Linked DNA regions of Daphnia pulex. The protein of the gene in region 1 purifies or fractionates together with the protein of each later gene. This does not show direct contact. Links are inferred from orthologs where the notes say so. Each region holds a gene or a part of one and is shown on either strand. Other genes may lie near its edges.

The links.
Region 2: the proteins of gem-associated protein 5-like (region 1) and U1 small nuclear ribonucleoprotein 70 kDa-like purify together in Homo sapiens (affinity purification with mass spectrometry; 4 studies listed by BioGRID and IntAct, counting the BioPlex papers as one, with this or other methods). This does not show direct contact. The link is inferred for Daphnia pulex from reciprocal best matches to the Homo sapiens genes GEMIN5 and SNRNP70.

What each region holds. Positions count from the first base shown.
Region 1 is NC_060024.1:12,893,504-12,904,223, forward strand, and holds gem-associated protein 5-like, read left to right. Parts: upstream 1-5,074; 5' UTR 5,075-5,201; coding exon 5,202-5,406; intron 5,407-5,470; coding exon 5,471-5,595; intron 5,596-5,652; coding exon 5,653-5,890; intron 5,891-5,958; coding exon 5,959-5,999; intron 6,000-6,068; coding exon 6,069-6,353; intron 6,354-6,412; coding exon 6,413-6,767; intron 6,768-6,829; coding exon 6,830-7,366; intron 7,367-7,440; coding exon 7,441-7,592; intron 7,593-7,648; coding exon 7,649-8,322; intron 8,323-8,391; coding exon 8,392-8,995; 3' UTR 8,996-9,092; downstream 9,093-10,720. Other genes in the region: E3 SUMO-protein ligase RanBP2-like, read left to right, coding at 1-1,051, 1,126-1,333, 1,392-1,440, 1,511-1,860, 1,930-2,210, 2,275-2,980, 3,051-3,176, 3,240-3,339 and 1 more; CD63 antigen-like, read right to left, coding at 3,777-3,926, 3,992-4,117, 4,173-4,343, 4,425-4,604, 4,684-4,749; glutamine-dependent NAD(+) synthetase-like, read right to left, coding at 9,219-9,305, 9,660-9,824, 9,894-10,479, 10,565-10,720. UniProt on the Homo sapiens protein: The SMN complex catalyzes the assembly of small nuclear ribonucleoproteins (snRNPs), the building blocks of the spliceosome, and thereby plays an important role in the splicing of cellular pre-mRNAs.
Region 2 is NC_060026.1:6,141,064-6,145,162, reverse strand, and holds the start of U1 small nuclear ribonucleoprotein 70 kDa-like, read left to right. Parts: upstream 1-1,299; 5' UTR 1,300-1,591; coding exon 1,592-1,735; intron 1,736-2,205; coding exon 2,206-2,323; intron 2,324-2,392; coding exon 2,393-2,457; intron 2,458-2,595; coding exon 2,596-2,658; intron 2,659-2,719; coding exon 2,720-2,801; intron 2,802-3,734; coding exon 3,735-3,815; intron 3,816-4,018; coding exon 4,019-4,099. UniProt on the Homo sapiens protein: Component of the spliceosomal U1 snRNP, which is essential for recognition of the pre-mRNA 5' splice-site and the subsequent assembly of the spliceosome. SNRNP70 binds to the loop I region of U1-snRNA.

The DNA.
Region 1 (10,720 bases):
CTCGTTTGTTGATGAGAAGAGATCAGGTTCTCAAAATCTGTTGCAACCATTACATTACTCCTCAGCTGTCACCGAAGCCTTTGCAGACATCAGACCGTACATGGACATGGTCTGCACAAGATTTTTCTGAGGGTGAACTAGTTCAGGAAACCTTTGCACTGAGGTTCAAAACCATGGATCAGGCCCAGAAGTTCAAGGGCGTTTTCGATGAAGCCCAGAAGAAATCTGCTGACATCAGTATTGAAAAAGTCGAAGCAGCGAAAGAAATGAAAGGCCAAGAACCTCAAACGTTCGGTGAGAAGTTTAAACCCAAAGAAGGATCCTGGGAATGCCAGGGCTGCCTCTTGCGCAACGACCCTAGTGTGATGAAGTGTCCATCTTGTGAGACTAGCAAACCTGGAGAGCCTAACAAAACCGAACAGCCTGCCACCAAACCTCAACAACCTGTAACTGCATCCTTCGCTGGATTGTTTAAGCCCAAAGAAGGATCTTGGGAATGCAAGGGCTGTTTTTCACGCAATGATGCTGCTATGGTAAAGTGTCCTTGCTGTGAAACCATTAAACCTGGAGAAACTGCTCCCGCTACTACACAGAGTTTACCTACCGCTACCACTCCAGCAGCTCCTTCCTTCAAGTTTGGTTCGGAAGGAGGCTTTAAATTTGGAACGCCCGCCTCTAGTACTTTATCTTCGTTTGGCGCGAATTCATCATTCTCTTCCAGCACTACTACTGGATTTGGCAATGGCTTCAGTTTCTCCATGGGCACGCCTTCTGCTGCGAGCCCAGCACGCCCAGCGACGCTGACTGCTCGTTCACCGAACGTTTCAGTCAGCAGCGACAACGAGTACTATGATGAAGGTGAGAGTGACAACATTCACTTTGAACCCATCATTCCATTGCCAGAGAAAATTCAAGTCAAGACTGGAGAAGAAGACGAGGAAGTTGTTTACTGCCATCGCGCTAAACTTTTCCGATTGGTTGATAATGAATGGAAGGAGCGAGGCCTGGGTGATGTAAAAATCTTGCGACAAAAAGACACTGGAAAAACTAGGTAAGCTTATCAGTTGTATTTCATTATAATTTATTAACCTTTTTCATTCATTTGTTTTTATTGTTTTATTCTAGACTATTAATGCGACGAGAACAAATTTTTAAGATTTGTCTAAATCACGCTCTCACTCCTGATCTGACTTTCAAACCCAAAGACGAGAAATCTTGGATATGGAAAGCTAAAGACTTTACTGACGGTGAAGAGAAAGAAGAGACTTTCGCCATAAGATTTCGTGACGCAGAAACCTGCAAAGCTTTCATGGATGCTGTGAATGAGACTAAGGTAATCGTGCACTAATTGCAAATTAATTAGCTCGAAATTAATCTTTTCTGCGCTCTAGGTTTCCCCTTCATCAGCGTCTGTCGCCAGCACGCCAGCTGCAACAGGAGGTACTTTCAAATACAGTTTTGTTATTGTCTTAAAGAGTTACTAAATTTTAATATTTCTTCCACGAAATAGCAGATGAAGTACAACTTGTCTACGCCAAGGAAGCCACAGAGGAACAGAAGCGTAAAGCCAAGGAGCTCAAGCTCCCCCTTAACTTTTTCTTGTACGAAGATGCTCCGCCGTGTCCAGGTTGTCGTGGTTGTGAACCTGAAGACAAGAGTGTAACCACGAAACCTGACGTCATTACTAAGCCCAATAATGTCGCCAAACCCGAGACTCCTTCCAACGCAATTTCGTTTGCCAAGATGATTGATGCCTCCGCCTCACAGCTATCTTTCTCGTCACTAGTCTCTTCAACTGGCAGTGGCTTCAACAAGCCAGCCGCGTTTTCCTGGTCTGGAACTGGTCAACCTATTTTTGGGGTAAAATTTAATTTTGATTTCACTTTCATGAAGTGATTTATGAATTTTTTAAATTTATTATTTCTTTAGATGGGTAGTCCAGCGACGCCGCAAGAAGATAAAACCAACCATGGTGAAGACGATAACGACGAAGTTCCTGAAAGCAACGATCCTCACTTTGAACCAATTATTCCTCTGCCGGCGTTGGTTGAGGTGAAAACTGGTGAGGAGGATGAAGAAGTCATTTTCTCTCACCGCGCAAAATTATACCGATACGTGGCAGAAAGTAAGGAATGGAAGGAGAAAGGAGTCGGAGATATAAAAATCCTTTATAACAAGGACAAAAATACCTACCGAATTCTGTTGAGAAGGTATTTTCATAATTTTTTCCCGTGATACCTGACTTGAAGAAAGTAACGAATTTGTTTGTTTTAGGGACCAAATTCACAAACTGGCATGTAATCATTGGATCACTGATGATATGAGTTTGAAACCCATGTCTACTTCTACTACTGCTTGGACCTGGTTTGCAATGGATTTTTCACAGGGCGAGTTAATCTCCGAATCATTTGCAGTTCGTTTTAAGACAGACGATCAGGCAACTCTCTTTAAAACTAAGTTTGAGGAATGCCAAACTGCGTTAAGGAAGAACACGACCGCAGTAAAGCCAACGTTGGCCGAGTCAAACATTGTTTCAACTCTAGCTGTGACTCACAAAGAAGGTTCTTGGGAATGCCAAGGATGCTTTACGCGTAATGATGCTACTGTGCTAAAATGCCCTTGCTGTGAAGCCATGAAACCTGGAGAGACTCTACCTACTGTTACTCCTCAACCGGAAGTGACAGGTGCAACAAAGAACGCTGAAGAAGAAGAGGAGGAAGAAGGTGAAGATGAAGAAACAGTTGAAGAAGATCAAGATGAAGAAGAATATGAAGATTTGGAGGAGTCCATTATGTTCGAGAAGCGCTGCACACTCTCGTCCCTGGAAGGTGGTCAGACCGACAAGAAATGGGTGCTTTTAGGAACCGGCAATCTTAAAATTGTGTACGACGATGAGATGTTGTGTGCGAGGATCGTTGTCGAAGATGTAAATGAGCAGTTGCTCTGTGACAATGTCATTGCTATTGAGACTGAGCTAAAGGTATTTTATTATTTCTTTTATCCCTTTGTATAAAAAAGAACTGCATCCAACTTAATGATCTGATTTATAGGTTGATAACAAAGAGTGCGTATGGTCGGCAATCGATTATTCGTCTGAGGAATCTGTGCACAGGACTTTCCGTGCCCAGTTCAGCTCTACTGACGCTGCGCTTGAATTCCAATCGATGTTTGCCGAAGTAAGTCTTGACTGAGCTAGCAACTTCGTTTGATCGATATTTTAATAGTTGTTGTTGTTGTAGGCGAAGCAGTATGCAGAGAAATCTGATGTACACGACGAGCCTGATTTACACGCAGCCGGCTACGACCATAGCAATGACGATCACGGAGACTATGTCGAAGGCAAGTTTTAATGAACATCCGGAGAGAGGAGATAGATTTTTTCATCGTTAATAAATGTTCCGAGAGAGAGCTTAAGCACCTAAGCTTTTGCAGGTCAATCCATGCCATCTGAAGGAGCCGTCACGTCTTTCAAGCCGGCAGTACTTGTTCGTGCTTGTGATCCAAAATTAGCCCGAGCGCTATCAGATATTTTAAATGATGTGAATTAAATGTTTTCTGCCTATTTTTTGGTAGGTCAGGGGGATACCCCCCTTTTTGATATGACGTTTCTTTCAGTTGTCAATGATTGAACTCACTCGTTTTTTCACCCTCGATTGTACTTTTGCGGGCCTTTCCACAGTGTGATTAATTCGTAACAATAAATTGAGATGACCTGATACGGGCGTCTATTCTTTTCACAATCAAATTTTTCCTTTTTGTAGCAACAAACAAATTAACTATTGATAGACAGGATCACTCGGAACGCAGCGGACTAGAAAAATGACAAGAATGATTTGAAAAGGTAGGAATATCGTAATGGCAATCCCAATTGCGGTTATTTTGGCGAAGAGGGCATCGACCGACTTCATCATGCTCGAGACACAATCCTGTAAAGTGAGAATTAAGTTTAAACTAAATTTAATGTAACTGATTAATAATAATATTTAATTACTTCTTGGTATATATTCTTCAGATAGGAAGTGTCGCATCCTGATTTAACGCAACAGGAATCAGGAATGAATGAATATCCTGCTACGCTGTTCCAGTCCTTGTAGCTATCAACGCCACAACACTGGAACTAAACCAAGCGCTTTATCACGTCAGCCGACTAATTTCCAAGTAAACTAATTTACCATTTGTTGGGTGATATCCATTCCAGTTTTCCCACTTCCGTCGGGATCGAAATACATCATTTCGCGCATAGACTCTCTAATGTCTTGCTTGACTTTAGTACCGAAATCAGGACCGAACGCCACCAAAAGTCCAACCATGGCAATGAACAACAGTACGAGGAAACCTGCATACTGTCAAGTGTCAACGTCTCTTTAATACGATTCACTACGGATACAGATAGGGAGAAAGAAAATTATTTTTATTTTACTCACTATGTAGTAAAAAACAGAACTGCCGTCAATAGTGAAACAACAGTTAAGCGTCGTCATAACGATCAGTATGACTCCTATGACAACAGCAAGACTTCCGATTTTCAATTCAGCCGAGAGTATGGATGTTAGCCGAGTAGATTCTTCAGCTAGTCCAAATCCAAGTAAACACATTCCGAGAACCTACCATGTTTCGTAATAATTACTTGTGTCACTCATTGATTGCAATGAGTTTTCGTAAATAATAAAGAATTAAGCGTACCAGTAATAGAACATTTATGAACAAATGTAGAAATGCACAAGCGAAACTGCATCTTCCGGTCTCCATATTGCTCACTGAAACTCTGGAACATGACAAACAATATCAGCCTACATTCACACATCTATCGACGTTTATGAGCGTAAGCTATTCTTCGAAATAAGTGACGAATTCCTTTTGACGCGCACATTTCGAACAAGGTTCGTTGATTTCTGATTTGATGAGGAACAATTCGAGCTACCCTTGGAAGCGGCCAAGAATTGTTTTATTTTATGCAACACGAAGGATCGCTCATGATTCATAATAACGAATTTTTTCTGAGCGTTATTTAAAGAATTATTACAACTTCTTAACTTATCCCATCTCAAAAATAAATTATGTAATATCTGCTTTTAGTAAGGTTTACTGTTTAGCACCACCTTTGTCGTCTGTGCACGTTGTTTTGAAATTGTTCGCACATGGTGCGTATATGTAAGATTTAGTTTTCAACTTAAAGAAATTGTACAAGTTAAACTTGTAGGATGACAGAAAATAAAAAAGAGATTGTGATTCCTCCATCTCCAAATTGGTATCTGAGTGGTGCTTTTGAATGTCACAAAAAGTCTGGAGTATTAGTTTATGCTGCTTCGCGATGCCTCGTCTTTGTGAAATCTTGTAATGTAGGAGATAATTTCAGTTATCCTACAACTAATGTCATCCCGGACGCCCACAGGAATAAAATTACTTGTTAGTTTAGCATAAACTTCCTTAGGTTCACTTTTCAATTAATCGGTTTTGTTTTCATATGAAGGTGTGTCTTGGTATCAGCCCTCAGAAGAGAATAATTTGTTGCTGAGTAGTGCTGGAGAAGATGGTTCTATTTGTATATGGAAATATAATGATTTGAGTCTTGTATTTGAACAAAATGCACATCAGGTAATATTTGTAAAACATATTGTCAAGCTACAAATCTAATTTGACATCTTTTTCTAGGAGCAAAAAATTTCTTGTCTAAGTTGGTCTTCTCTACTGGATAAGAAAATCTTGGCATCATCAAGTGAAGATGGGACCATCATAATAACAGAGCTACTATTGAGCTATGAGAGTTGCAGCACTCGGAAGCTCAATTATGGGAAAATAAACCCTCTTATGCTGTCATTCAATCCCCACATTCCATGGCAGCTGGCCATTGGCTGTAAAGGTGGATTGCTGTACATATGTGATGTTAGAGGTAATGATTCAGTACTTGCTCTAACATTATCATGATTTTTCATCACACATATCATTGATTTCATTTAGAAAACCGTGGTATAATTCATAAACTGCGAGCTCACGAAGATGTAATAAGTTTAACCAGTTTTGCGTTTTCCCATGAAGTGTCGTCATTAATTCACAACAAATTCTTTTAGGATCTACACAACATCGTTTGGTGCCCTTTGAAAGGAAATGTATTTATTTGTGAAAAAGAAAAGAAGGAAACATTCTTGGCGACTTCGGGCCGAGATAAAACTATTAAAATCTGGGCCACTAACGAAGGAAAATGTGTCAGCCAATCAAAACTTCCTGGCAATACTGGAGTCCATCGCCCTCGGTCTACTCAGGATGATAAACGTGCGACCTGGGTAGCCTTACATTGGCTAAACGAAAAACATATTTTGAGCAGTGGACTCAGTGGTGAACTTATCTTGTGGGAGGTCAGAATTTTAAGTTAAATTTTTATTTGCATGAATTTAATCAATTTGTTTTGCTGTAGGTTGGGCCCAAATTGTCTTGGAAGATCGTTCACAAGCTTCACAGCCGTGGACTCTTCAATATTTCTTCATACATGACTGGAGAAAACCAGGAAATGATTTGGACTTCGGCGCAGGATCGTAATGTTATTCTTTGGCCCATAGTGGAAGGCCACGTACCAAAAGAAGTGTTAGGCATTCAAGAAATGGAGAATCCGCATCTTTGTATGCCAACCATGGGTGGTTTCATCTACGTCATGAATATCAATCCCATCGATTCATCCCAAATGGCTGTGGGATTGGGAGACTGCTCCATCAGACTATGGAATATGGCAGCTGCGAAACCTGACATGATGATGCTGTGGAATGGAATCAAAGGTGATGAATATATAATCTACTTATGCAGTATAGAGAGTAAAATTGCAATTCAATCATAACAGGCAAAGTGAGTGGATTAGCGTGGCATCCGACAATAGAGGGCCGGTTGGCATTTGGAACCGATGAAGGACGCGTAGGAATATTTGACACACTGTCGCTAACTAAACCACCTCAATTGAGTCGCACTTACCACAAGGGTACCGTATACAATTTATCCTGGGCTACCCTGCCGTCTAAGGAAGGGATATTCCTCTACTCTTGTGGTGGGAACAACATTATGGTTCACGATCCATCAGCATTAGATACGGAAGCAAAAAATTTCAATAATTTGATCGCAAGCAAAGGAGAAAAAAATCAAAAGTTCCCTTCGCGTACGGAATTTCAATGGAAAGTGGACTTTTCTCTTCTAGCCGTAGGCAACGAAGACGGTTCTGTGGAAATCTATTCAGGCGGCGATTTATCTTTGCTAACGATTATCGTTGCGCATAAAAAACTTATTCAATGCCTTAAATGGCATCCGCCATTCACTTTCCAAAGTGTGGAACCTTCCAAATTTGAAAACTGGTTGGCAGTGGCTTCAAACGATGTGAACATCAAAGGTACGTGTAAATTTTAACTATCTTGACCCCTTTTGTTTTATTGACTGACTGACGCCTTTTTACTTTTGTTCCAGTTTTTAGCGTCGTCGTTGCCAACAACGACGAACCCGCAACATCCACACTTGCGGCTACTCTAAGCGGTCATAAAGAACGTGTGGTGTCGGTGGCTTGGAGCCCACATGAAGATGGAAAGCTTCTTTCTGCCAGTTATGATGGAACCGCACAGGTAAATCATTCTTAGACTTTTTAATTATACCCTTTTATTTTTACTTGCATTTGCAGGTTTGGGACGTGATCAACAAAGAGCAAGTGGCTAATTTTGGTGGCCATACCGGAAGATTGCTTTGTTGCGAATGGAACGCATTAGAACAGGATACGGCCGTTACAGGAGGAGACGACATGACTATTCGAATGTGGAAAGTTAAAGAACAAGTCTACAAGACACCTGCCGAATCTATTGCAGTCAAAACGTTGAAGGAACGAAAGAAAATACCATACAAACCCCCTCAATCTTCTTCTTTTGTTGGTCGCCATGCAACTTCAAGTGGCACAACTAAAAAGAAGCCACCGAGTAAGCTGAAATCATTGTTCCCGGTTAGCGCCACTCTTGAAGCCCGTGGCCGAATCGAGGGTTTGAAAGACTGCAAAATATTGGCTACCCTGAAAGGAGTGACTCTAAAACATTCCGTCATTGGCGAAGATCCGGAATCCTTTACATGTCCTGCCTCTGATTTCGGAGATGCCGAGTTGGCTCATCTGGGCTTTTTTGCTAGCCGGGATTCCACAGTTCAAATGCTCCAGGAGGAGATCGACCATCATCAAGAAGGTTCTAATTCAGATCTAGCAGCTCATTTGAGAATCTGGCAAGGAGATGTCGAATCGATGCTACGAGAAGCTGTAAAGAAAAGGCAGCTTAATGATTGGCTTGTTAGTTTGGCTCCTCAAGTCTCTTTGGAGTAAGTTGGCCATTTTTTAAATCACAAGATGAGACTCGACGATCATTAATTGGAGTATTGATCCGATAGGTTTTGGAGGGAAATGGCCCATCTGTACGCCCAGCAGCTGATGGCAGAAGGAGATGTCAGGAAAGCCGTGTCTTATACTCTCATTTCCGGCCAGAAGAGTCAGGCAATTGAAATGTTTTCCAGTCAGCAGTTACATCGTGAAGCCGTGGCTCTTACACGTTGCCAGTACCCCGACGAAAGTTCTCAAGTTCAAGAGAGTCTTTCTCGTTGGGCCAGCAAAGCTGTTTTAGATGGTAATCTCGAATTGGCAGTAAAATGTTTCCTGGCCAATGGCGAGGTAGCTGAAGCGGCTCGCACGTTGGCGCGACGATCAGATCCGTTGTCTCTGGTTTTGTCGGCTGACCTGGCTACAAGCGCCGGTCTGGATCAATTGGCTGCAGCCTATTTACAACAAGCTACGGACATTGCGCAGACTGCCACTGCGACTACTGAAAAACCTAGTCCTACACCGACGAATGGCGATGCCGCCGTTGCGGAAGTATCTCAAAGTATCGATCAAGCGGACAAGAACCAAGAAGTCGTCGCATTATCAACAGCAGCAGCAGCAGCGGAAGACGAGAAAACAGAAAATGACGAAATCATTCAAGAAAATGGGAGAGAATAAATGATGTATCTGGGAGTGTATTATTTGACGGTATTATTATTACAGTCTAATAATTAATTACATGGACGGCTTTGTTGAGCCCATATTATGCTGATAATCTCCTTTTATCTAAAGGCTTATTAATTAATTTGAATCTAGACGGTCACACAGGAGCTCCCCGTTGATCCGCACAATTAGCAGTTATTGTGAGTTTTGGTGATTTCCTTTTCTTCTTCGCCATTAACTAAAATGCAATAGAATTACCTGATTGCATGTGCGCATTATCTAGTTTACGATCATCAGTGTCGACCATCTTGTTGACGTGCTCCAACTAGAAAAAAAGACAACAAAAAAAAGGAGGTGGAACATATCTAAAAATGACATGCGTAAGCCATGGCTTTCCCGACCGATCAATACGCCGGCACCTCTCCAGTTTTCACAGATCAAACAGCCTTAGCATATAAAACCTCCCCTTCCTCCTTTCAGCTCCCCCCCCCCCTCCTCACCCTGACTTTGGTAGCAGTATAAAAAAAAATAAAAAAAGGAAGGATAAAGATTCTCGAGGCGAACCGGGATTCTTCTACATTCTACATGGTAATTCCATTAAAAGCCTAAATGAATAATTCACAAGCTTACATAGTAGTAGTATAGCTGTCGGGCATGAAACGGCTCGATATATACTTACATGAGCGTCAATTGCGCGAAACTGCCATCCCCACTTGGCGTTGTAAAGGAAGGGCCTATGGTCGAAGCGGTTATCATCGGGGCTGTACGTCTCGGCGTGGACGGAAGGCGTAATCACCGTCATTTTATGTCGGTTGATGGCGTAGCAGCGATAAAAATGTTTGACCTTGAAATTGAAACTCTTTTGGTACTAAATTTCCATTTTTTTTCTTTTTATAAAAGAGACATTGTATACTTTGTGTGCGATTTCAGCTGGTGTTCCTGCTCCCCTCCAGCTTTGAATTAGTCGACAGAAAGTGGTGTAAGGCCCACAGGCTGCCTGTTTACGAAGTCGCCCCAAGTCACCCAGCTCGGCGTAAGTTAAACCCATGTCTTCTTCGTCCGTCTGAACTAGACGACCTTCTTGCAAGGGCTCCAATTCGGCAGTCGGCGGAGCTGTCAGAATAGTGTCCAGGGAAGTTAGACAATATTCATTCCGGGCGTATGATAGGAATCGCTTCAAATCCCCTTTGGAGATTCCGCCGATGGGATTAACATCGGCACTGGAGCAATCGTATTTGGTGAGGTAGCCACGCAAAGATTCGTCGACATTGGCAGAACCAAGAACCAACAAACCACCCGATCTGCCCCTGGCCCACAACATCAACTGGGCCAGCAAGTAGCTCAACACCATCCTCATTCGGGCCTGGACGTTTTGCAGGGCAAGGTTTTCTCGCAAACTGCCGCCATCGACTCTGAACTTTGGTACGAGCCCCGTGACGACTGTGAAAATGTTGAGAGCGGCCGAGACAACAGCGTCGATAGCCAGGGTCAAATGATAGCTTATTGGGTGATAAGGAAAAATAATTTAGTGTCTGTTTTTTTGTTTGTGGTGTCAAGTTGGCCAATTAAAAAAAGGTCGTTTACCTTCCCAGCTGGTCAGACAAGTCCTTTGCCCGCTGTCGTGTCTCCGCCGATGAATTGGCGCTGCCCATGTAACAGGTGATGAAAATCCGGTTGCACAGTTCACGAGGATCGTCCGGGATGTAACTGGGATCGCCAACAATACGCCGGACATCGTCG
Region 2 (4,099 bases), on another chromosome or scaffold:
TCTTGAGCAAAGCCTATAGAAAATTCGAAAAATTGCACTGACAAATCCGCTGGGGCCGACATGTATTAGCAACTGGCGTTTTGGTGTAGCGGAATTGTGGATAATATATCCAAATTATTCAGTTTAGGAGGTTTTCCCATCTAGGTATCTCGGGCAATCTGCCTTAGTAGAACTATGGAAACATGTTCACAGATTGTATGGTTCCATTTTTGGGTTTATTTTTGTGGGCGGACCGGCGGAGTGCTTGCGGTCACGTGATGATGGAAACTCGATTCAGAATCATGTCGTGTGTATCAGACTTTGCCGCGTTTTGTTTGTTTATTTTTTTGCATGTGCTAACGATAAAAAGGCCTATCCTTAAGCTGAGTTAAGCATGAAGGACGAAACAGTATGAGTTTTTTGGCGCAAAAAATTTAGCTAACTAAAGTAAAATTTTGTTATGGTCTTAAAGTAGAGAGCTAGAGACACCGTCTCAACTTTCAGACGATAAATACATCAAGATTAAAGACATTCCTAATCCTAAGAAACCATTAATTTCAATTAATTCAATAATTGAATTCTACGCCATCAAGAGGCCAAATAATATCGAACAGTTTTTTTTTACTTTGTTTTGGTTTGTCTGCAAGTAGAAGTTGAAATCCAAGCTGATTTTTGAAAACCACAATAACATTAACCGAACTTAACCGCATCAGCAATGTATTTAAGAAAAGGCCGAAAAGGCTTTGTAAGAAAGAAAGGAACTAATTTATTTATTTACCAATATTTGGGACTTGGATGTAATTGAAAGATGCTGTACAACTTGAATCTTTTGAGATGCAGTAATGAAATAAATCTTACCGTATAAAATATGTTTACCATATATTAAACCTTGTCAAAAATGCACGTAGAAATTCCCCCTTAGTCTCATTTGAAACCTAATTATGTCTATTTTTATGTAGTATTTATAGTTTTTTTTCCTTAAAGAGCATTAATTTAAATGTTATAAGTTACCTACTACCTACTTACTAGACTCCACTTTCAAGAAATTTAATGAAAAATATCAGCGCCAAACCCATTAAAATCCAATAAGCAATAAGCAACAAGCAAACTAAAGGGCCGGGGGTCTAGTATTACGATTATAATATTTAAAACAATATAAAAAGTAAAAACTGATACAAATTGGTTGGGGCCAAAACGCTGTTTTTGACTGTAGTGACTATTTACTTTTATATATGTCTGATTCTGATCTGGTATTGATTCGTCTGCTTTTTTAAATTTAGTTTTATTTCTAGTTGCCAAATATATATTTTGTTGCTAGCCTATTTACGGCTCAAAAAAAATTTATGAAATTGGTCAGATAAATTAGAAATTACAAAATCCCGCTGTTTTTCCTAAAATCTCAATCCCATCTCATCCCACAATACCCGTTTTTTAAAACGGGTATTTTCAATTTTAAAAACTTGAAAATTTCAAAAGTGGGAAAATCCCACCAAAGACCAAAGTGGCAGCCCTGCCGAGCAATAGATAGACAGTAATGGACTAATGGCCGACAGCTAAGACGCTCGACCGAGAAGCTTTTTGAAAGGTCCATGCTCATTGAAATATTTGTGAAATGACGCAGTTTTTGCCTCCAAATCTTTTGGCTCTTTTTGCGCCACGCGATCCCCCTCCATTTTTACCACCACCTGATAAATTGACTCATGAAAAAAAAAGAACGCCATACATTGGTATAGCGCAGTATACAAATCTGTTTGAGGTTAGTATTTGATTCCATTAAAAATTAAAAATTGATATAGTAGTCAAGGTAAGTATTGCAATTTGATCTAATTTGATTGATTTGGGAAGTAATGTATGTCTTAATTTACTAATGCACGGGTCCCAATCCCAATTTATGGAACAGTTTTGGTTCATTTATTCATTCTCCTCTAGATGTGTCGATGAGAATCCCAAGTTTTCATGTGTGACATGTGAGATGCAAAATATTTTGTGAAAATGTTGTGAAAGTGTCTTAATTTTCTGGAAGCACAGTGTTTCCAGCTGAGCCTTTTATCAGGTTGACAATTTAATGTTAGCATATGTCTGAGGGGTGTAAAGTAGTCATTGTTTCACAAAGTTTTAAATGAGAGATGTGGAACGAAACATTGCATACTAGAAGCATTCTGATGAACTAAGTACTGAGCTTTCAAACATAACGAAATTTTTAATATCATTTTATATTCTTAACAGGATCCTAAAGATACACCCCCTCCTACGCGAGCAGAAACACGGGATGAACGGCGCGAAAGAAAACGTCGCGAAAAGGCAGAACAAGTTGCCTATAAACTTGAACAGGAAATTGCAATGTGTAAGTTCTAATTTTTGGTGTGTTTCTACAATTTCTTTTATCAATTTCCCTTTTCTCTGGCATTCATAGGGGATCCACACAGTAATGGTGTTTCTACCATGGACCCCTTCAAAACGCTGTTCGTTGCTCGCATTGTAAGTGTCAATACTCATACTATAATTTTTTTTTCTCATCACTTTTATTTTATTTCGAGCTTAATGAATAATGAGTGCTAAGTTATAACTAGTAATCCGCATGAATGAAACGATAATTCTTGAAACATTTTCTCTCAGAATTTTGATACTTCGGAATCTAAATTGCGCAGGGAGTTTGAAGTGTACGGAGTTGTTCGGAAGGTAACTTACAAGCACCATGTGAAATTTAATCACACGCTTACCACGCTTTTTAATGTTACAGATTGTGTTGGTGCATGACAAGAGGACTAGTAAGCCACGCGGTTATGCATTCATCGAGTATGAACATGAGCGAGACATGCATTGTAAGTATTTCTTTTCTATTATACCTAAGTCGTGTGGTAACTGAGGGTAGTGGGCTAATTAGTAAGGCCTGCGATAGCTTTCACTGTTCAATTAATCGTCGCACCACCAATTTGTATGATGATGAAAGGGGTGGGGGTGAGGTGGGGAAAATCTGTGATTGATTTGTACCTTAAAGTTTTCCTATATTTCATTTTGTCGTTTCCGGTCACAGTCGCGGCCTCCGACTATTTGGACGGTCATGTGGCCTTTGTCGCTTTTTGTCTCTTGATGCTAGGTTTGTATGGTCAATTGGTAAGGTTTCGTTTGGTTAAAGTTAAACCAAAATCCCTTTGAAATCGACTGCAGGTTCAAATTAGCTTCAAAGAAAGTATCTTTTCGTTTTCACCCTCCCTTCCCCTTGATGGTAGTAAGTATCCTGGTAAGTCGGTTACTAGGCTTTCTAGCGCCACTAAAAATTAGGGCCATTTCAATTCGATCAGATTCTTCGAGTGCTGCTGCGCGTTAAGAGGATTCACAGGTAAAGATGGGGACAGCTTGAAGAGGGAATGGATCTGCTTCTGTGATTGGCAACATTTGATCGCTTATTAATAGATCTGGATGTTACGTGAACATAGCCGTAATCTGGTAAACGGCCGTGGCGTTGGTTTTTTATGCATTTTCCAAGTGTTATGATTGGTCATACTTGAAATCATTGCATTTTTCGTTATTTGTTAATTCACGGTAAATATTTTTCGAAATTGCTGGGAGGGGTAGGTAATGGAGATCCTTCGGTAGGTGATATTAGGTTTGTGATACTAATTGTTGGAACTCTCCTTCTCCATGTTATACACGCTGAATTTTTCGTCTTCTCTGCCTGCTGTACTACCCGTATTTACGATTTGTTCGTTTTGCCGACGGCGCCGAAATACTGGTTTGTTGTTTTAAAATACCAGCTGCGTACAAACACGCCGACGGAAAGAAAATAGACGGCCGCAGAGTTCTTGTAGACGTAGAAAGGGCAAGGACTGTCAAAGGTAATTATTTTAATTAAATAAGTTTTATGTTTATAGTTTGCTGCCCTTTTTTTCGAAGGCAAATTTTAAAATTTGTTTTGAAAATCCATAGGTTTTTTATTTTGATTAATCAGTGTAAATAAGTGCACAAAATTTTTTTCTTCTTGTTAGATATTATAATCATGCCGCCATGGTTTCTAAGTACCTAAACTATTGCATTCCAGGTTGGCTTCCTCGCCGTTTGGGTGGAGGCTTGGGTGGGACTCGTCGTGGAGGACCAGATGTAAACGTAAAACATTCAGGAC